Arabidopsis thaliana: one gene and its partners. The protein of the gene in region 3 interacts with the protein of the main gene of each other region in a pairwise test. Each region holds a gene or a part of one and is shown on either strand. Other genes may lie near its edges. The genes, in order: BT1, AT1G10586, AT1G76590 and MBD4.

Region 1 (5,643 bases), on a different chromosome or scaffold from region 3:
ATGATACTTCATACTTGGCTACTTGCATTATATAAATGGGCAATATATATCCAAAGTCCAAACTCAAAGGATAAGATCGGAGTATAAACATGCACATCAATCTCCAGTGCTTCAGAGTTCAAGTGGAATACAAACAATTTTAGAATAGAAAGTGTTCAGTAATATTTTAATTTCTAAACCCTTAAATGTGTTGGGAAGAATCTTACATGAAATCATCAAATCCATTAGTTTATTAACACTTTTCACTTTTCTCTTCCGTCGAAACTTATCCACAAGTTTTGGATTTTGATGTTTCGTTTTCTTAAAGAGCCATTTGTGAATACTTAAAGTTATAACAACAACATGATTAATATATCGAATATACATATACTTGTAGAGTTAATGAAAGGAAAACACCCCCGACATCTTATAATAAAATGTTATAAAACTAAAAAGTGTACATAAACTACTACTCTGAAACCTTAACACATTAATTTTCCAATAGTTAGAAACTTAGAATAGTTATATGGCCTTATGAGATGTCTACACTAGTTGTTAAATGTCAACACGGATATTGAAATTTCTTGGAACTGATTCTGAATTCGTTTAAGTACTTCGTTTAAGAGCTTGATGCGCAACATAAAGCTCTTATTTGACACGTGTCATGATGTTAATGGTTAAGCTTGACTGCCATATTGGCCTAGACTACCAGATTTGCCACGTGTAATATATGCGGCGAAATTTATTTCATTCTTCGATAAGTTCTTCAACATCCTATGATGTTCAGGCATTCTTAAACCACAATTAACAAAGGCCAGTGGCAGAAATGGATAAATGAGAGAATGACAAGTGGATAGACAAGAGGGCTTGAGAGTGGATGAGGATCAACAAGCCACGTAGACGAGGAGGTGGGCTCTTGGGAAGAGGCAAGGGTCGGTTTACTTCAATAACCACCCTTTCTCAAACTTAGAATAATACTACTATCAGCACTTTTTCTACATCACAAAGGCAAATTTCTTGACCGGTTTTATCACTTTTCCCACGTAGGATCAATAAAAAAAGATAAACATTCGTGACTTCATGAATCATGGGGACAAACATCCTACATGGTACCAAAAGTAAAATACATTACTTGTTTTATTGTCATCCCAAACATTACAAAGGGCCAAAGGCAATATTATTTCTAGATACTTTCAGTGGAAAGTATTAATATATGTGTGTAATGTTGGGAATAAAATATAGTCGACATTGGTGTATCGAAAGGTCCATTTAAAAACATAATATATTGTAATGATCTATAGGTTAGATCCTGTTGGTATATCAGGTTGGGAATAAGAAAATACTTTTGTTATACAATGTATTATAGAATATGTTGTGTTAGGGGGCACTGCGGCTATTTGACAATGTTTGAGGCATATTAGTCCTAGGGAAGTTTATAATAAGCTGCATCACCAAATCCTTTATACATATCTAAGCGTAGTAAGATGAATGTAACTGATCATAGATTTTAACATATGATATGAGCTCTGAATGGAGAAAATATATTTATCTAATTAAATAAAATATGTCATTCGGGTCCAAAAATGATATGCAGACTTAAATTTTCAAACTATTCAAACTAGGAAAATAAAATTGAACTTATCTTCTGGAGATTTTTTTTTTTTTAAATTGTGCTTTGTATATTTATTAGTCCAATATAAACATAAATGAGATAAGTACACATAGGCTTTTTGTTGTTGGGTTTGTTCACATTTGTTAGTTCTTTTTTTCTGTCAAACAGTAGTATATTTTCAGTTTTTCTGCTTCAAATTTTGTAAGCAAGAAGTTCTGTTTCATTTTAGTTTATAAAAATTTATAACAACATGTAACTATATGCTTTTAAAGTAGACTCAAATACTGGGTGTTATCTGTGTATAGATTAAGATACAACTAATTGTATCTGTGTCTTAGTGTCTATATATACGATTATCTATTTATCAAAACGGAAAAACCATAGCCAATTACTTGCATTTGGGTTGGTGTTAAAGACAACCGCAAATTATTTATCAATGAATCATAACTTATCTCAGAGAAATACAGATCTGAGACCCCAAAACTCCTGAATATACAGTTCACTACTTTTATTTCCAATTATTCTGGTTACCAAAAAAACAGAGATTAATTGACATACACGCATCTACAAAGGCGCGTAGGGTAAAACAGAAACAAAAACAAGATATTTATCATAAAAAAATGCCACGTGTTATTAACAAGTAATCAAAAAGGACCAGACTTCGTTGAGCTGTGTCTATAAAATCCAGAGAAGCAATGCCCTCAAGCTTCTCCATCATCAAATTAAAACCCTCCAGCCTCCAACAACAAAATTTACCAACACTCTCTCTTTCTCTTTCTCTCTGAAAACTTAAAACGATGGCTATAACCGCCACTCAAAACGACGGCGTTTCACTAAACGCCAATAAGATTTCGTATGATCTTGTGGAAACTGATGTTGAGATCATCACCTCCGGTCGTCGTAGTATTCCGGCACACTCCGGCATCCTCGTAAGTTTCTTTTCTTCTTACTTTCTTTGTATGATCGAATATTTTTTTATTTTGGTGCTTATCTTTTTTGTTTGTTTAAAATTGTTAAATGCAGGCTTCGGTCTCACCGGTACTGACGAACATCATCGAGAAGCCGAGGAAGATTCACGGCGGATCATCGAAGAAAGTTATTAAGATTCTCGGTGTTCCATGCGACGCCGTTTCAGTCTTCGTCAGATTCCTCTATTCTCCGAGGTTCGTCTTTCTCTCTTTTTCATATCTTCTTGATCGTCAGATTTTTTTTTTTAATCCGTAGATTTATTACTTCAAAAATACAAATCATACTAAAAAGAATGCTTGATTAAATACATCATCTTAAAGATCTTTACCAAACTCGACTTTTCCAACGTTTTAATCATACATTAAAATCACTACAACCAGATTGCGATTGATTTAGACTTGTTTCATATTCAAAAACGTGTGAAACACAACACAAGGAACACGAAACTAGTACCAACATCAAATTTGAATAAATCAACGGCAAATTTTACCCTTAGTATGCAAAATGACTAGAATACCCCTATATGTATCTTTTGTTTAGTGTCACGGAGAATGAGATGGAAAAATACGGAATCCATCTACTGGCTTTATCACACGTGTATATGGTGACTCAGTTAAAGCAACGGTGCACTAAAGGCGTCGGTGAGAGAGTAACCGCCGAAAACGTTGTCGATATTCTCCAGCTGGCTCGTCTCTGCGACGCACCTGACCTCTGTCTCAAGTGTATGCGATTCATTCACTACAAGTTCAAGACCGTTGAACAGACAGAAGGATGGAAGTTTCTTCAAGAACACGATCCTTTTCTTGAACTTGACATTCTCCAATTCATCGACGATGCAGAATCGGTAATTAACTCAAACCACACTTTTTTGTTTTCTTTTTTTTTGGTTCTTCAAGAAAACTCTGTTTTATTGAATTAGGTTTCTTTTGGGTCAATTTCTTGCAGAGGAAGAAAAGAAGAAGGAGACACAGACGAGAACAGAATCTGTATTTGCAGCTGAGTGAAGCCATGGAATGTATAGAACACATATGCACCGAAGGTTGCACACTGGTCGGACCATCGTCTAACTTAGACAACAAGTCAACATGTCAAGCAAAACCCGGTCCATGCAGTGCGTTTTCGACTTGTTACGGACTTCAACTTCTTATACGTCACTTTGCAGTATGCAAGAAAAGAGTCGATGGCAAAGGTTGTGTCCGATGCAAGAGAATGATTCAACTCCTTAGACTCCATTCTTCGATTTGTGACCAATCTGAATCTTGCCGTGTCCCTCTTTGCAGGTAAAAATCCGACATTTTAGAATAATCAAAACCACATTTTAAATGTTTCTAATGATAAAAGTTTTTCACTTTTCGATAGTAGATCTCATTTGATTTTTTTTTAACTTTCGGCGCCAATAATAATTATCTTTTTGTGGTGGTAGCCTACTTATTAGATGATGAGTCGTGATCGGACGGCTGGAAATATTTTGTTTGGTAGAATTATTAAAAGATATTTTAAGAAATGAGAATCTGATCTCGTTGTCAACTTTTTATTTGTTTTGGTGATTGGAGTAGGCAATATAAGAATAGAGGTGAAAAGGACAAGAAAATGGTTGAGGACACGAAGTGGAAGGTTCTGGTGAGAAGAGTAGCGTCTGCTAAAGCCATGTCTTCGTTGTCTCAATCAAAGAAGAAAAAAAGTGAAGTGTTATTTAAAGAAGAAGCAGAAGATTTGATCAGAATCCGGAACAAGTTAATGTGAATATACAATATATGTGTTTTTATTAGATTATATAGTGAGCGATTGTTAGAAGCCATTAATTACTTGAGTCGGAAGGTTTATTTGTTTGTTATTTGTCTCTCGGACTGGTTGATTGGGTTAAACTTGTCAATGAGTAACCCTTTGAATCTGTCGTTTTGTTTGGTCGGTCGAATTATATAGAAATGTATTATTGGTTATAAAATGGTATTAGGGTTTTTGGAGACTTTGTGGCAAAAAGTATACAGATTGATCCGGTTTAAACTAGCTAACGTCAAACGCAAAAGGATTACTGAATCTAAAGTAATGTGACAAGATGGAAACAAAATAATTATTCTCTTTGTAGTTGATTGGTCATGCCAAATTATATGACTAGACCTGGTTGCATATGAATCACAAAAAATCTAAATGAGATTCAAGTTGGATCGGTCTAATCAATCACAATAGCTTCAACCATGCATGATACAAAGGAGAATTTTGATGGAAATAATAGAAATTCAATATTGGAGATCAAAATTGACCAACCGGTCTTAGTCACTGGTATAGTGGAAGGTTGATCATGATTGAGGATTCAAAAGCAAACAAGGCAAATTATTAGAAAAAAACATGTGCTTATAATTAGTTAAAACAGAGATATTTTTATTAAATTCTTCATTCATACTTGGGTTCGACTGGAAAAAGGAAAGACGCGTGGGGGACAGATGAACCACGCAATGTGGTTTCGTGTCGGATGTCAATTACTCTTACATTTCAGTTCATACTTCTTAACTACCAGATGAATGCACTTAATAAAAAAAAAATCAAATACAAGAATTGTTCTTTTGAAATGGAAATGAATATTTTCATGTTATAACACGAGTTTTGACATAAAAAGGTTAAACAACTCGAGCAAGTTCATTCACTAAAGTTTCAACATGAAACTTATTCTAAATTGTTATTTTTACATATTTTGAAGAAAAAAAACAAAAAAGAAGATGACAATATCAACCCGTAAAGCTTTCTGAGTAGTGGAGCAATGCAGTCACCGATGTTTTAATACTAACGACAACAATGATTCTTATCATGACGATAGAGGTGACTAAAGATTCGACCACGTATGAATTAAAGAAAAGAATGTTTACATACGAACGACAAAAAAGATTCTTATCAGGAGTAATGACACAGAATAAGTGAGTGGTGACTAAAGATTTAACCAAAGACTTGGATGAGCTGGAGTAAGCAAAGACTTGGAAGCATCCTGCAGGTTCCGTGGAGGTAAAGAGTCATGGGAGTGATACGATTAATTATGCATTGTTTGATATTTTGACTTGTGAGCGACGATGTGTTCCTGTGATTGAGAATTA
Region 2 (5,982 bases), about 25 Mb from region 3:
ACAGAAAATTAAACATGCCTAGTTTTGTTGAGTCTTGGAGTACTCCAGGTAGATGTTGGTCATAACTTTGCCACTGAGCAAACTGACATAAAAAGTAAAAGGAGCCGCAATATGATACTAACACTGTGTATATATCGTCTCGCTGCTTGACCACTTGCTTAGAAACTGAGTAAGGGACAATTATATCCTTATTGCATTTTCCACATGTTATTCTTTTTTTCCTTCTTCAAATATTTGAATTCGTACAAGAAGAGAATAGTCATTTGGTAACTATCATAATTCATAGCCATTGAAAATCCGTGACTAGAAATACAGATTAGCCCAATTTTAAAATGTTAAGCCTATAATTACTTGTAACTAATTCTGTGGCTAGAAAAGGATGATTACTTATAGTTAGAAAATTTGTAGCGAAATTTTTGTTATCGATCTATATATACTGTCCAATTTATATAAGACATTTAGAAAAAAAGATTTGTTTACTAGTTATGTCGTGTATATATACATGTTTTTTAAGTTTTAGTTAACTATATTCACATACAAAATCTAACCATGTGTGATTTTAGGAGAAAACAAAGATGAATGTCCTTGCTATCGCAATATGAAAAACTCCAAAAGTGGATCCAAATGCCTATGCCCTTGAACATGTTTTGAAGATAGTCATCAGATGCATAACATCTATCTATTCTATGTATGCAAATATCAATTACGACTATTTTAGACGGCGCCTGTAATAAAATATTTGAGCTTAAAATGCTCAATGAAAGAAAATTTGAGAGTTCTTGACAATAAAAGTAGATAATATATTTTATATTTAAACATGAGATTCTATAAACGTAATAGAGATTAGGCATAGAAAGAAAAGAGAAAATAAAGAGATTTTGAAGATGATGTGAGAGGCTTTTTCGTTCATATACTTGAGGAAATGGTATTCAGACATTTGATCATTCTCTTTAACTTAAACAACAATAGGGCTATTACACCAATTCACTCTTAAAAATACTCATAATCTCATGTTTAAAGAACTAACACATTTAATTTGTTAAGAAAAGACTTGTGATTTGGGATTCAATAATGCTTCAAAAAATTAATCATGAGATTATATCCCTTAATCTCTCTTCTATCCTTGATGGATCAATCCCGATCCGACATATGATAGCCTGCAAATATTCATTTAGGTGATTATTAATTTATCATATATATATAGTCCTTCAAAAAAAGTTCAAACTATATTTTAATGATATGGAACAAAGAGATGCTGCTAAAAAAAAAAAAAAAAACATGACACATGCATGTACCTGGGCTATGATTGTATAAAAGGTCCTATCATTCAAGTTCTGAAGATTAGCACTCATCACTTGAGCTCCTTCTTCTTCAAAAACACTCACAAGCTTGTGTAACATTACTCCTTTCATGTTTAGATCCATAACCAGATTCATTTCTATGATCGAATCCAGTGAACGAATACTGAGTTTTGGCAGAAGAGACGACCCTTCAGAGCGATTTTTGACTTCTCCTCCTAACATTCTCCTTTTCATCTCATTCAAATAGTTTACCTTCTCTTTCAGTTGGATCATGTATGATACCGCTTGATCTATAAGTTGAGGCACTGGCAACTGTTGGTGCCAATAAAAACACACAACCTAGTTACTTCCATGTCTTTTGTATGAATTTGGTTATAATCGTTATATGTATTAACTAAAATGTAATATACTAGATTTTAACCCGCGGTACACCGCGGGAACAATTGTTTTTTTAAATTAGTATATATAAAAGTTCGTAAATTATATCTATCTATAAAATATATTTATTTTACAGTTTACAACTGTTATTAAGTAATGTCCTTTCAAACCCGTCCCGCCAAACCCGTCCCGTAAAAAAAAACTACAGTACATCGTTGATTTAAATATATAATTAAAATAAATATTTTACGGGATTACAATTGTACTTTAGTTTGTCAAACAATTTTTGTTTTAAATAGTTGCCGAAATCTAGTTTAAATTTTGGAGAAATAAGATTTAGTGAATTGATAAAAAAATGTATTTAAGTGCGTTTTGCTCATTTTAAGGGATTGCAATTGTATTTTGGTTTGCCAAACATTTTTTGTTATAAATAGTTACCGACATTTAGTTCAAATTTTGAAGAAATCTGCGTGATATATGAGATTGTAATATATTTGAAATAGTTTTGAGAACGATGATTTTGTTACGTTTTAATACATGTACATTTTACTAACTGAAAATATGAGATTGATTATTTGTATAACACGGAAAATATGAGATTGATTCTTTATATTACAATGAAAATGAATGATTCAAAACTAAAGATCATAGTGTAATATAGTTTAGCTTAGAAAATAATTAAAACGATTTTATTTATTTATTTAGTTTTCTAAATTTTAGTTTAGATTCAGAAAATAATTGTTTAATTTCCTTAGAAGATGATAAACATATATGGAAGATTTGAATCTCTATATATTTTAAAAATCAATCAATAATGTCAATATAATTAAAGGATAGATTAGAAAAAAGTTTCTTGAATGCTAAATAATTAATTTGTTATTTATAAACAAAATATTAAATGCTGTAAAAACGAAATATTAAATAAATATGGAAAGAAAATTCTACCTTAAAATATTTTGTACTATTAAAACCGATTTTTTTTTTGCAGCAAATTAAAACCGAAAATTAATAAATACTTAAGAGAGATTTTAGGAATGATTTTTTTGAAGTAATGTTAGACTTTTTTTGAAGTAATGGTGGATTTAATATAGAGACATTTTAGGCAATATTTTTGTTAGGTAAATATTTGATTTAAAATGTCGATTGAAAAAAATAAATTCAGTGGCATTGAGTCGTAAATAAGTTCTAAGTCCAGGATTTATTTGTTAAAATGACTGCAAAAATGTATATATAGATATGAATCATTTGTTTTAACTCTACACTACATATAATGGTCCTAGCTGGCTTGTACTAAATACTGAGAACCCTAGCTAAATGCTGCACTTTGATTGATCTGGTTCAAATCAAGATGATTATCCCTTGATCAGTTCTTTGATTGATCTGGTTAAAATCAAGATGTCCATAGGATTTTCGCAACATAGCCCTTGCCTAAGCGTCTAGGCGCTTAGACAAAACCAACACATACATTACATCTACGAAAAATTATGTACTCTGTATATATAAACAATAAAATACATGTAGAGAGAGAGAGACGGACCCTACGAGTGGGAGAAACATGAGAAGAGAGTATGGAGAAGAGATGTTTCATGCGCATTCGTCGTTCTTTCTCTCTGAGGTTTCGTTGTTCCCGTAATGACGATGCGCTTCCTTCTCCTATTTCTCTCGCTCTTTCCATTCTTCTTCTTTTCCTTTTTTAGGTTACTATGTTTAATTCCCTCTTTCCAAATCCATCTCTCCCTCTATAAATATAAAGAGATAGAGAGAAAGAGCCGCGTAATTTTAGATGAAAATGATGTTTTTCAAAGAAAGTCATGGCTTTTCTGGTTGCGTCCATGAGCTTACACACTACTTAATTTATACATATATATGCTTCTTTTACTTTGTAAGTTCCACTCTTAGAGATACTAAACATGTCCAATATGTTTTTTACTTACTTGGTAAGGTTTTGTTGGACACATTTCTAGAACCTAGATAGTGTTACGCTAGGTTTTGTTCTAGTGAAGCTTGTAGAAAATGTGCTTATCAAAATCATTTCAGCAGAACATAGTAATTAAATTAGTCGGATTATATGTGATGAATTCTTCACATAAGTACCATGTTTGGATCGACAAAAACAACAAGGGAATTTTTTTGTTATACCATGATAATTATGTTGATCATTTGTAATAGGCTAGATAAAATTAAAGATACCTTTAAATGATAATGTAACAATTCCATGTTTAATTAATAGGTGTCCATATTTATTATCCGAATTACACTATACAGGTCACATATGCTAAGACAATTTGGTGTCAAAAACGAAGAATCTAAGATTATTCAACAAGCTATCATTATTCCTTACCGATATAAAAGACTTTGAACTATTTTTTGGCCGTAAAGCTGACATATTTCACCGGAGATGTCGTTCAATTATACACTTGACCAAGTCTTATTCTAATAACAAAAATAATAATTATACACGTGACCAATTCTAGATTGAACTTTCTAACCAATTCTACATGAATCGTTCACCGAATAAAAACAAAAACATAAAATTAAACCTCGCAAAATTGAGTCTTGGAGCCTTTGCTAATTTCTTGAATACTAAAAGCAGATCACTGTTGATCTACATATAATTATTTATTTCTGTTGTTCGTTATTTATCCATAACCAAACCATGATTAGAACTAAATCAGTTCTGTGGATGCGGTAAAACAATCTCTTCGTCGAATGACCCCAACCAAATATTCAAATGTACACTTGCTAAAACCCGGTTCATTGGTAGTCCGGTTTGGTTCGTAGTATTTGAGTCAATTTCATATCCCTAGATGTTATGCAGAATTTTGCCACCTAGACCGAACAGAGCGTTTTCAAAACTTGGAAAGGAAAAAACACAAAGCATTTAGAACATGATGGAACACATGTTAGCCGCAAAGAAGTAAAAGAAGAAAACCTTCATTTTGTCTTCTTTCCTTGTTTTGCAAAATCGTCCAAAGGAATAACTTGTGTATATTTATCTGTTTTTGGGTATAAAAGATATATATATATATATCGCCTAGTCGTCGCTGCTTGTTGTTGTCAAGGCACACATGTTTATTCTTTATTTTTGTCAAATATTTGAATCAAGATCAGCTACTATTCTAAGAAACTGGCTATTTCTAAAATAACACTCACGAATTAGCCATTATTTATAAAATGGTAACGGTATATTCGAGATTCCAGTCCATACATGTTATTAATAAAGAAAGATTGGATCTCCATATAAAAAATAGCTGTCTCTTACATTGTAGCACTAGCTAAAGATCTTTCAATACTACGTACCTAGTCATACAATTCTTTGAATATGGTTTTAAATTGTATGTGAATATTATTAAGTGAGAATAGTATCGACATAACAAGTATGAAATCTTTTATTTCTATATATTTTATTTAACAACCTATAACAAACATTTCACTTCAAATTCTCACTATATGTAGTCCATCATCAACTACTTTCTTTTCGCATATCTTTGAAGTTTTTGGTTTTACTAAACTAACTCTATCATAAAAGGAGAAAGCTTTAAATTTAACCAGAAATGAAGATGCCCGTGGTTGTACAATTCTTCATAATCTCTCTTCTCCTCACATCTTCATTTTATGTACTTTCAAGCGCTGATTCATGTAAGTGTATACTTAATCTAGTTAGTTATTTTTTAGGTTATTTATCATTTTGAAACTAGTTGTCTGAAATTCTAAGATTTGATTTGTGATGGTGATAAATGAATTAGCAGCATGCGGTGGAAAGTGCAGTGTGAGATGCTCAAAGGCAGATCGAACACATGAGGAGTGCCTTGAGGACTGCGATATATGTTGCCAGAAGTGTAATTGTGTTCCTTCGGGGACTTATGGAAACAAAGATGAATGTCCTTGCTACCGTGATATGAAAAACTCCAAAGGCGGATCCAAGTGTCCTTGAACATTCTTTGAAGATCCTCATCACATACATATTATCTACGTACTATATGTATGGAAATTACATCTATATATGTTTGATGTATGAAATAAGTTCTGTGAGCTTAATGAAAATTTTGTTATCTTCAATCCGATTCCTAAACACATCAAGAATAAATCATGTCGAGGTTTATATTTCTCAGCTTCAATTTCACTAAACGAATAACTTGGGATACTATGATGGAATGCAGAATTGAGAATTTACTCTCTCAATTGTCTTAAATTCATAATCCAAGATCTACAAGGGGTAAGTATTAGGACTAACCGATTAAGGGTTTAATAATTATGTAATTCAGAGACTCTAACGCTTTGCATCGACCAAATACTACATTGT
Region 3 (4,746 bases):
CTTCAGTTGGGGTGGTCTTGATTATGGCTCAATCTAAGGTTTGTTATATAACTAAGTGTTGTTAATTCTTTTGGTTCGATACCAAAAGGGAAAAAAAAAGTGCGATGAAGGAAACTGAGAATGAGAGGCATAGTGAGAAAACCCAAAGACATGTGGATCTTGGACATTGCAGAGATGGAATCACTCACTGGTCTTTGGTGAGCCAGAGAGTACAGAGAAACTGGTTCAGGTCAGAGCAGACATAGCTTCAACACAACACCCAAGTTTTTATATATTTGGCTAATTATGTTTTATTCTTGCATATGTTAATTTCCCATTCTCCCTTAATTACAGTTTTTAGTTGCTTAACACAAAAGCTGTTGCTATTTTACTGAAGCTGTTTTCTCCTGTGTGTTTATTGTATCTCTGTAGAGTTGTGAACGTAGTTGAACATTGTTGTAAAATTGTAATGTAATACCTTTTTGGTTAATCCTACGTAAAAGTAGTATTAGCCACTACTTGCTAAACATTTTAAAGGGACATCTTAAAAAGTGAAGATGATTCTTCACAAATAAACCACAACGGTCACGTGAGTCTCGTGCTATTGACTACTATTGTTGAGGTCGGTCAACAGTGCATTGCCCCATCTTTACCTTCTTCTTCCCACATTTGTTTGGGATATTTTTCAATTTACTCACTTTATGAATACAAACAAAACAATAAAACTAATCTCTTTTGTGTGTAGTTGAAAGAGATAAGATCGCAGAAAAGAAGACGATGATTCGTCGACTTTTCTCCCAACATTTTGAACAATTAGTTGTTATGTGTAATTTTCTATAGATAGCTACTATCTGATTACGTGGATCACACTTCTCTTTTTATTATTATCTCTTTAGGTTTCTTATCCCATATAATATGATATCAGGTCTCTTTCTCGAGTAATACATTATATATCTATGTTGATTATTTACTACTTGTCATTTAAGATAAGATACTTAAAAATACTTGTTATTGGATTTTGCCGGAAGACTTAACTTTCAAACTCTATTATATGTAGAAGATAGCGGACTGAAAAATACGTCGAAGACAGATACTTCTATTGCATAATTTTTGGGTAGGGACTAGAAAACTTACTCGTAGTTTCGACATATCATCCGCAATCTCAAATTAATTGCAAACTTTTTGATCATATCTATTGAAACTATCTTTCTAGCTTCATTAATTCGTTACCAGCCCCCAATATAAGCTATCAAGTATGAATATTAAGATGGATTTAACGGTGATAATAGTAGTATGTACAGTTTCTTTTGTCAACAGCTGATAAAAAAAATGAAAGCTTCTAACAGTTTGAGCCTAAAGAGATCATATATGTGAACAGTTTCACACACACATAAGCCGTACAACTAATATAGATATCACTTTGACCGTAAAAATCTAACAGTTTAGATCACACACACACAATCTTGAAACTAGTTTAAAGCACTTTCAGCGAAAAGTACTCACTAGATGATAAGAACTCTTTGGCACGTAACAGACGCTTTCGAACCCTACGATTTCAAGAGGTGGCTTATGTACGGTCCACTCAACTTCTTCATCCGACGGTCTAAGATTGGTCATGTGGGTTGAACTACCAAAAGGGCCAAAAGCGTGAGCCACGTTACATTATAAAAGATTTTGTCTTTTTAATCCAACGGTTCACACCAGAATCTCCAATTCGGTTCTGTCTCCTCTCGTGTCGGTCCATCTCTCTGGCTCTTCACCTCTAGCCACGTGTTTCTAATTTTGACCTTTTAAAATTTTAAGAAAAAAACAAATTATTTCTTGTAGCTAAAATTTAGCATCCAAATTCCAAACTCAGAGTTCTCTTCTATGGCCGTATGATACTTCCAATAATCCGTATGTATGTGAATATCATAATCTATCACAAACATAATGAATAGTAGTAGATATTAAGACAATCAAATTTGGTAGAAAAAATATCTTCCTACGTTGGGAATTATGTAGGACCGAATAATATAGTCGGCTAATTCGATATTTTGTCGCGAACCACGACATAAAATTATTTATCATCATTTGTGAACAATAATGATTCAAAATTATCAATAACACCACCTTTTTTTTTTAAGTTCCTTTACTTCTGGGGTCTCTAGAGACCCACACATGTGCACAAAATATACGTGTGTCTCTCATAGACTTTAAAGCAAAATTAGAGAACACTTATTTTTAGCCAAAAAAAGTAATTAAAGAAAAAACTATATAAAAACAGTTTAAAAAGGGGATGATATTAAATGATTTTCATGTGAATTATAAAACGTATTGAGTATTATCGTGACCGACTTCAAAAAACAAGAAAAACCTCAACTTCTCTTTTTCAGCTATAGCCGCCGCCTCCTCCCACTAAACTCAAATCCTCTCATAGTCTTTTCAATCAAATCTGCTCTTCTTCACTGTTGAAGCTGGCTATCAAAACTCACAATAACTATGGTGATTGATTGATTCTCTTTCTTACTTAACTCTGTTTTAGTTTCTTTGCAAATTCTTATATTAACCATTTGGAACTGGTCTAAACATTCTTCAGGGACCGATGATGATGAGAGCAGAAGAAGATAACTACAATCTAAATCCTCCACCATGGCTAATCCCAATGCTAAGAGCAAACTACTTCATCCCTTGTTCAATCCACGCCGCTTCCAACAAAAGCGAGTGCAACATGTTCTGTCTTGACTGTTCTTCTGAGGCCTTTTGCTCTTACTGTTTGCTCAATCACAGAAACCATCGTGTCCTCCAGGTTCTTTCATCAACTTCAAATCATTTTTTTCTCTCTTACCAATTCACCCAACAGAGTTAAGAAAATGGGATTTTCATTACTTGCAGATACGGAGATCATCGTACCACAACGTTGTGAGAGTAAACGAGATTCAGAAGTACATAGACATATCTTGTGTTCAGACATATATAATCAACAGCGCAAGGATCGTTTTCTTGAACGAACGTCCTCAGCCAAGAATCGGCAAAGGAGTCACCAATACTTGTGAAATCTGTTGCAGAAGCCTTCTCGATTCTTTCCGTTTCTGCTCTCTCGGTTGCAAAGTAACTCTTCTTTCCTCTGTTTTCCTCTGTTTTGAATGAATATCTGAATTTGCTCTGTATAGTTGAAATGACCATATTGCCCTTTTGTTTGGTTTATTTCAGCTTGGAGGAATGAAGCGTGATCCAAGTCTAACCTTCTCTTTGAGAGGGAAGCATGGAAGAGAGTACGAAGGTGAGTGGGAATCTGATGAAGCGACTACACCAACTAAGATACGCAAGACATGTGCTTTCAACCGTCTGATGAGTGGTCTTTCCATCTCCACCGTTAAATGTGATTACTTGTCAGGAGATCAACCGTCTTCGAGCTCCGGTGATGAGAGCGGTTTTAAACTTTCTCCGGGGACACCGCCGATATATAATCACCGGAATTCAAGTAGACGGAAGGGCGTCCCACACCGTGCTCCTTTCTAAAATTAATACTAACGGAAGCTAATTATATAGTGTAGATTATAGAAAATGTGGTTGTTATGTTGTAACTAAATGGTTAGTAGTTTTTAACCTTTTGAGCTAGGAATATACATATTGTAAGACATATTACTTACAGGTATTGTTTGGTTTTTCTTTTTATAGTACATATAGAAATTAGGTATATACTGTACTCAAAGGGATTGAAATATGTTTTCATATAGTTTTTTTGCTGTAAATATACGTTTGAAGGAGGTATGTTTCTTCAACTTGTTTGTATCGTATACTGTGTACTATCTTCACAATAAAATAGCAAATATGATAACTAGGATTTTTAACTGAAGCGCTAATATTCGAAGAACTAAATTGTCAATGAGAATGATACAGACGAATAACGAGATTTAAAATAAGAAACTGTCGATCAAGACATGTATTAGTATTGTCAGAACACAAAAACATTGGTGATAAGCTGGGGCAAAAAACATTCTGGGTCTATCTATTTCAAGGAAAGGAGCTTCGACTCAAAAGAAGCTTATGTCATTAGAACTTAGAAGTCGATTGTTAACAACAGTTCAAATACTTCGTTTCCCTAAATTGGTTATCAAGTAGTTTCAACTTTAAACTCGTGCTATTAGAATTTTTTTTTTATTTTCGAACGATATAACGTGGTTCTTCGAAACAATACTTCGCTAAATCCTAATAACTTTCGGCATTTGAAATGCTCATGATGTCATGCATCTACCTTTTTTCCGTGGTTGCCTCACCTTTTAATGGTGTTTTGATGTTAAATTTTTTTATGTATAAGTTGTATTTTAGTTTTTTTTTTTTTTTTTGACTGACTTTTGGATCTAACCTATGATTTAAAGATCGGAGAGACCATTCTGATCTTTGTATCTGGCGGGTCTTGGGAGATGGTGGAAAAGAAAAACCTATGATTCGTCAAAGATGGTTGAAAGATGAAGAACTTGAATATGAAGGTTTTTTCGATTGGGACAAATAGATGAAAAATAAAGAAAACATAAATTACTATATGACCTTATAATATATCGAATGAAAGCAATATCATTCGACTCAGGTTTGTAATTTAGTGGTTTATGTTATACTGTTTCCATGTAATAATCTGAATTTTAATACGATCTAAAATCAAATATGTGTAAGTTGTTGATGAAAAATAGAAAATTCTAGAGTTTTATAATCTTACATGGCAGTAAAGCAAAATTTAGCAATATTGAAATCGTTCAGATTCGGGTTTACATATAGATTCAACTTGAT
Region 4 (4,452 bases), on a different chromosome or scaffold from region 3:
ATTACCAAATTAAGAAAATAAATCCAATCCACACTTGACAACAAAATAACCTGATCATAGAAGAGAAAATCAAAGAGGTAAAGGGGAAATAACGAGACTATAAAATATGGGAAGAAGTTAAAGAGTAGAGCTACTCCGAATGGAAAGTGTATTAGATGTGCAGAGATTCATAGAAATGGAAGAAAAATAGAAAAAGAAAACGAAAGAGAAGAAAAGTAAAGAAGAGACAAAAGCATTGAACAACGATGCTTTTGTCTTTATTAGCCTATTAACCTAAACCCCTAGAGATTCAGACACGAACCTTATTCATCTCGAATATCTCAAACCCTAAAGACCATTAAACATCATCGCTCTCTTATCACTTTCGCATTCATCATCAACTCGTCATCATATGTATGTTTTCATTCACATGGAGTTAGTCCAGAATAATAGACTGCATGCCGTTTAACGGTCTAAACAAAGACAACTTGTAGTAACGTGTTTTCTTACAAAATGACATAGCAAAATTAGCATGCATGGCTCAGGAGTTATCACATATCGTTAAAACATTTTGGGTTTGCTTTTAGCGATTGCCATTTGTCGAGTGTCTCAAAAGATTCTTGTGGCCCGTATAATGGGCTTTAGAATATCGTTCTATAAGCCCATCAAATTAATGAACTGAGTATTATTTCCGGGAAAGAAATAACGTTTTATGCAATTACGACCCAATTAACTTTATAGTTTTTTAAAACTGATGGGGAATGACCCAATTCAATGTTTTCACCCTCTCAATTGCAGCCATTAGTTAATACTGTAGTAATGTTTAGAAACTAGTTTCAAAATTTTCGTAGAAAAATTCATGTAATATTTTTAAAAATCATTCGATGTGCTGCATGCGTATTTCCCAAAAATTAAAGTTAATATGATTTAAGATTTTGTTCACAATTACTGCCACCAGAAAAAGGACGGTGAGATTAATATTTTACAGGTGAAAAGATTTTTCCAAGACAAGGTTTAATTTGACCATGCGGACCAATTTACTTACAAGGTGTCATGGTTTACAAAAGCCCGTTAAATGAGTAAATCCTGATCTGTTTGCCACGCTGGCAAAACCTCTCGCAGAGGCCCCACCAAATACTATAAATCATTAAATCTCGTTTAAGGCCCAAAAAATGATGCAGAGTTGCGATCGTAGAGAGTAGAGAACAGGGAAGGACGAGCGGTTATGTTAATCATGACGTCATCCTCTACGATTCTCACCGGAGATATAGATGAAGAACACCGCACGTCGTCAATGGCAGAGGAAGACACGCCTACGCATTCCCATCGACGGCGCTGGAGCACTCCTGTTGATTCCGGCGGCGAACCTCTTCAAAGCTTATCCGTGAGCAGATCTCTAGAGATAAAATCAGACCACGAGAATCCCGACGACGAGTGCAGGGAACATAGAGGTGTGTGTGGAGTTATTCTTGACGAATATTTCTCGTGTTCTTCGAAAAATAACAGTTACAGTTTCTATCTAGGAGGGAAGATATCGCCGTGGGGACCGTATGGACCGCCGCTGCTGACGGAGTCGAGATCAAAGGCGCCGTCGCCGCGGAGAGGAAGAAGCGTGACGAGGAAGCGAGATCTGCCACCATTTTTGACGACACTGGATTGTAACGGACGGCCGAGATTTCATCACAGGAGAGTGAGAAGCGAAGGACGGTTAGAGATTGCCAGCGTGGCAGTAGATTCACCGGAGATCGTTAGTGTTCGTGGGAGAGAAGGACTAAGAATCGGAACAGTGAGAATCAGTCAACAAAACGACGTAGTAGAAGATGATAATGAAGATAAACAGAATCACTGATCTTCCTCTTAGAATTTTGATATTTTCAGCTAATTTTCCGGGGGGAAAAAACGACATTGTAGTCCGATGATCCGTTAGAAACAAGATAAGAAAAGGGAATTATGGGCTTTACTTATGAATATTAGGCCCATAATAATATTTTGTTGCAAAACAAACCTGGGCCTGAAGCCCAAATAATTCGCTCAAGCCGACGTGTTAATTTATGATTTGTCCGTCACAGTGATACATTAAAGCACAGGCTGTGCGGTTATCACACTGTTCGCAGGAAGACTTATTTGAGAGAGTTTTACTTTTGGGGGACACAAAGATTTGGAGAAAAAGTTTACTAAAAAAGAATCTGGGGAAGTAAGTGAGATGAAGGAAGAGGAGGAGATCGGAAAACCAGCGAAACCAAAAGCCAAGGTAGTCCCACAATGACTTACATATATTTCGCTTTCCATTTTCTAGGTTCCGTTCTTTGCGTTTTTCTTCTCTTTATTGTGTTAGATGCGAACCTTCTTATAATTCCGGTCAAAGTGCATGCGTTTTTCGTGTTCTTACTGTCTTTGGAGATCTCAGATCCCGTATTAGTAGTTACTATTGATGGAGGAAGTTATACAAGGCATAGAATTCTAGGTTATCAGTTTTGGGGTTCACGATTTTTTGGTGCTTGGAAGTAAATTGTTGGTAGTTAACTTTGAAATCTTTGGTCTTGCAAACTTTGAGTCAGTCTCGTGATGTGTCGTTGCTTTCAGTTATTGCTCTAAGAAAGCCTTGGTTCTTTTCTTTAACGCTTGCTGGAGTAGTGTCGCTCCTTATTCTTGCCTTACATTATATATTTCTTCTACGCTCACAAGTCTTGTGTGGGGTTGTTTCACTGAGACTTAATGGCAGAAAGATGTTGCTCCTGGGAGGTTGATTGATACCTATGCTGCACAGTGCGATAACTGTCACAAGTGGAGGGTGATTGATAGCCAGGAGGAATATGAAGATATCAGAAGTAAAATGCTCGAGGATCCTTTTAACTGTCAGAAGAAACAGGGCATGTCTTGTGAAGAGCCTGCTGATATTGACTACGATTCTTCTCGGACTTGGGTCATTGACAAGCCTGGTCTCCCCAAAACGCCTAAAGGTTTCAAGAGAAGCTTAGTTCTCAGAAAAGATTACTCTAAGATGGATACCTACTACTTTACTCCTACCGGGAAGAAGCTCAGGAGTCGCAATGAAATCGCTGCCTTCGTTGAAGCCAATCCGGAATTCAGGAACGCACCACTTGGAGACTTCAATTTCACTGTCCCCAAGGTCATGGAAGATACTGTTCCCCCTGATCCGAAGCTTGGCTCTCCTTTTCCAAGCACTACTACCACTACTTCAGAGAAGAGCAGTGTCAAGCAGAGCCATAACTAATATGTTCTCTTCTACCTTCTTTCTGCTCCCTAAAGCAATGCGTTTTGAGTCTTTATAGATTTGATGTTCTCTAAAACTGTTATGATATTAACATCTCTAAGCAAAAAAATATGATCTTTTGTCTCTTCTTTAACCGGAACTCAAATGTTAAATATTCTTTTAATTTGGATTCTTACACCAAAGAAACACACTTATTCCTTACAAGTCCCCTCGTAAAACATTAAGTAGAGGCTACAACTCCGGGAATTCTCTCATGGCAAATCCTCATGCACCTTATAGTGAGCGGTTCCTCTTGAAGAATACTGCACGATGTCTCACAGACTTCCTCGTTGGACATGAAGCATCCGGATATGCATTTTTTATAGGCCTCCGGTTCGGTGTAAGACAGGCATTTTCTGTTGCATTTTGTCTGCAAACCCTCATTAGCAACACCTTCTCCTCCTATGACCATCATCTCTGGTTTGGACTTGGTGCGAGGGCAAACGGCCATGCAATGTTGAAAGAGTCCTTCAAAGGGGTTGCAAAATGCCTCACAGAAGGGATTGTGTTCTTCTTCTTGTCGTCCACTTGTCTCTTTCTCTATCTCCATCATCAACAGTTCATTGCACTTATCTTCACACTCTTTCTTCTTGTTGTGGATATCATGTTTACAGTTGTGCTTGCACTGTTCCACCACCAAATCTTCTACTGCACTTGACACTGTTGCACTTTCCAACACCAGAATAGCCCAAATCAGTGAGATGACTACTACCTTTGCTTTTGTTGGTATCATGCCTCTAGTCATGTTTTATAGATGTAATAGGTTATGATGATAATTTTTGTGTTATACTATATAGAGGGGTTGGTTAGTGACATGCAAGATTCTACAGGTGTTACGGGTACGTGTAGGTCAAGATTCTCCTATCATCCACTTGGACATCATGCTTTAGCCTGTGCATAGACGTGTCCAAATCCAACATAAGGAAACTCCAAAAAAATAAAAAGAAGAGAGGAGACAAGTTCCAATGACTTCAATTGATCCTTGCATTGAATTTGAGATGGTTTAAGGCAGGTGTCTTTTTCTCTTCATTTGTCTAATGGGTTCATTCACACACAAAATAGTTTCAGTGGTTTTGCAAGCTATATGTATAATCTCAAATTAGGCAAGGAATAAACTTATCATGTCATGGATAATGTAATGAGAGGAATAATTTTCCTCTCATATCTGTTATAATTTCCTTAGCATGATTTGATTCCCA

The links.
Region 1: the proteins of AT1G76590 (region 3) and BT1 interact in a two-hybrid assay, tested with the Arabidopsis thaliana proteins (one large-scale study listed by BioGRID).
Region 2: the proteins of AT1G76590 (region 3) and AT1G10586 interact in a two-hybrid assay, tested with the Arabidopsis thaliana proteins (one large-scale study listed by BioGRID).
Region 4: the proteins of AT1G76590 (region 3) and MBD4 interact in a two-hybrid assay, tested with the Arabidopsis thaliana proteins (one large-scale study listed by BioGRID).

Annotation. Positions count from the first base shown.
Region 1 is NC_003076.8:25,332,145-25,337,787, reverse strand, and holds BT1 (BTB and TAZ domain protein 1), read left to right. Parts: upstream 1-2,217; 5' UTR 2,218-2,388; coding exon 2,389-2,520; intron 2,521-2,614; coding exon 2,615-2,754; exon of another isoform or gene 2,755-3,083; coding exon of another isoform or gene 3,084-3,100; coding exon 3,101-3,404; intron 3,405-3,505; coding exon 3,506-3,840; coding exon of another isoform or gene 3,841-3,844; exon of another isoform or gene 3,845-4,116; coding exon 4,117-4,303; 3' UTR 4,304-4,616; downstream 4,617-5,643. UniProt on the Arabidopsis thaliana protein: May act as a substrate-specific adapter of an E3 ubiquitin-protein ligase complex (CUL3-RBX1-BTB) which mediates the ubiquitination and subsequent proteasomal degradation of target proteins. Also targeted for degradation by the 26S proteasome pathway.
Region 2 is NC_003070.9:3,496,043-3,502,024, forward strand, and holds AT1G10586 (basic helix-loop-helix (bHLH) DNA-binding superfamily protein), read right to left. Parts: upstream 3,398-5,982; 5' UTR 3,355-3,397; coding exon 3,217-3,354; intron 1,635-3,216; exon of another isoform or gene 1,614-1,634; coding exon 1,296-1,613; intron 1,158-1,295; coding exon 1,089-1,157; 3' UTR 886-1,088; downstream 1-885. Other genes in the region: AT1G10588 (Gibberellin-regulated family protein), read left to right, coding at 5,234-5,318, 5,426-5,613.
Region 3 is NC_003070.9:28,738,415-28,743,160, forward strand, and holds AT1G76590 (PLATZ transcription factor family protein), read left to right. Parts: upstream 1-2,125; 5' UTR 2,126-2,460; coding exon 2,461-2,463; intron 2,464-2,557; coding exon 2,558-2,767; intron 2,768-2,853; coding exon 2,854-3,069; intron 3,070-3,171; coding exon 3,172-3,480; 3' UTR 3,481-3,817; downstream 3,818-4,746. Other genes in the region: AT1G76580 (Squamosa promoter-binding protein-like (SBP domain) transcription factor family protein), read left to right, coding at 1-37.
Region 4 is NC_003074.8:23,293,212-23,297,663, forward strand, and holds MBD4 (methyl-CPG-binding domain 4), read left to right. Parts: upstream 1-2,073; 5' UTR 2,074-2,182; coding exon 2,183-2,230; intron 2,231-2,701; coding exon 2,702-3,214; 3' UTR 3,215-3,415; downstream 3,416-4,452. Other genes in the region: AT3G63020 (hypothetical protein (DUF3049)), read left to right, coding at 1,214-1,828; AT3G63040 (uncharacterized protein), read right to left, coding at 3,435-3,998. UniProt on the Arabidopsis thaliana protein: Transcriptional regulator that binds CpG, CpNpN and CpNpG (N is A, T, or C) islands in promoters regardless the DNA methylation status. Plays probably a role in gene silencing.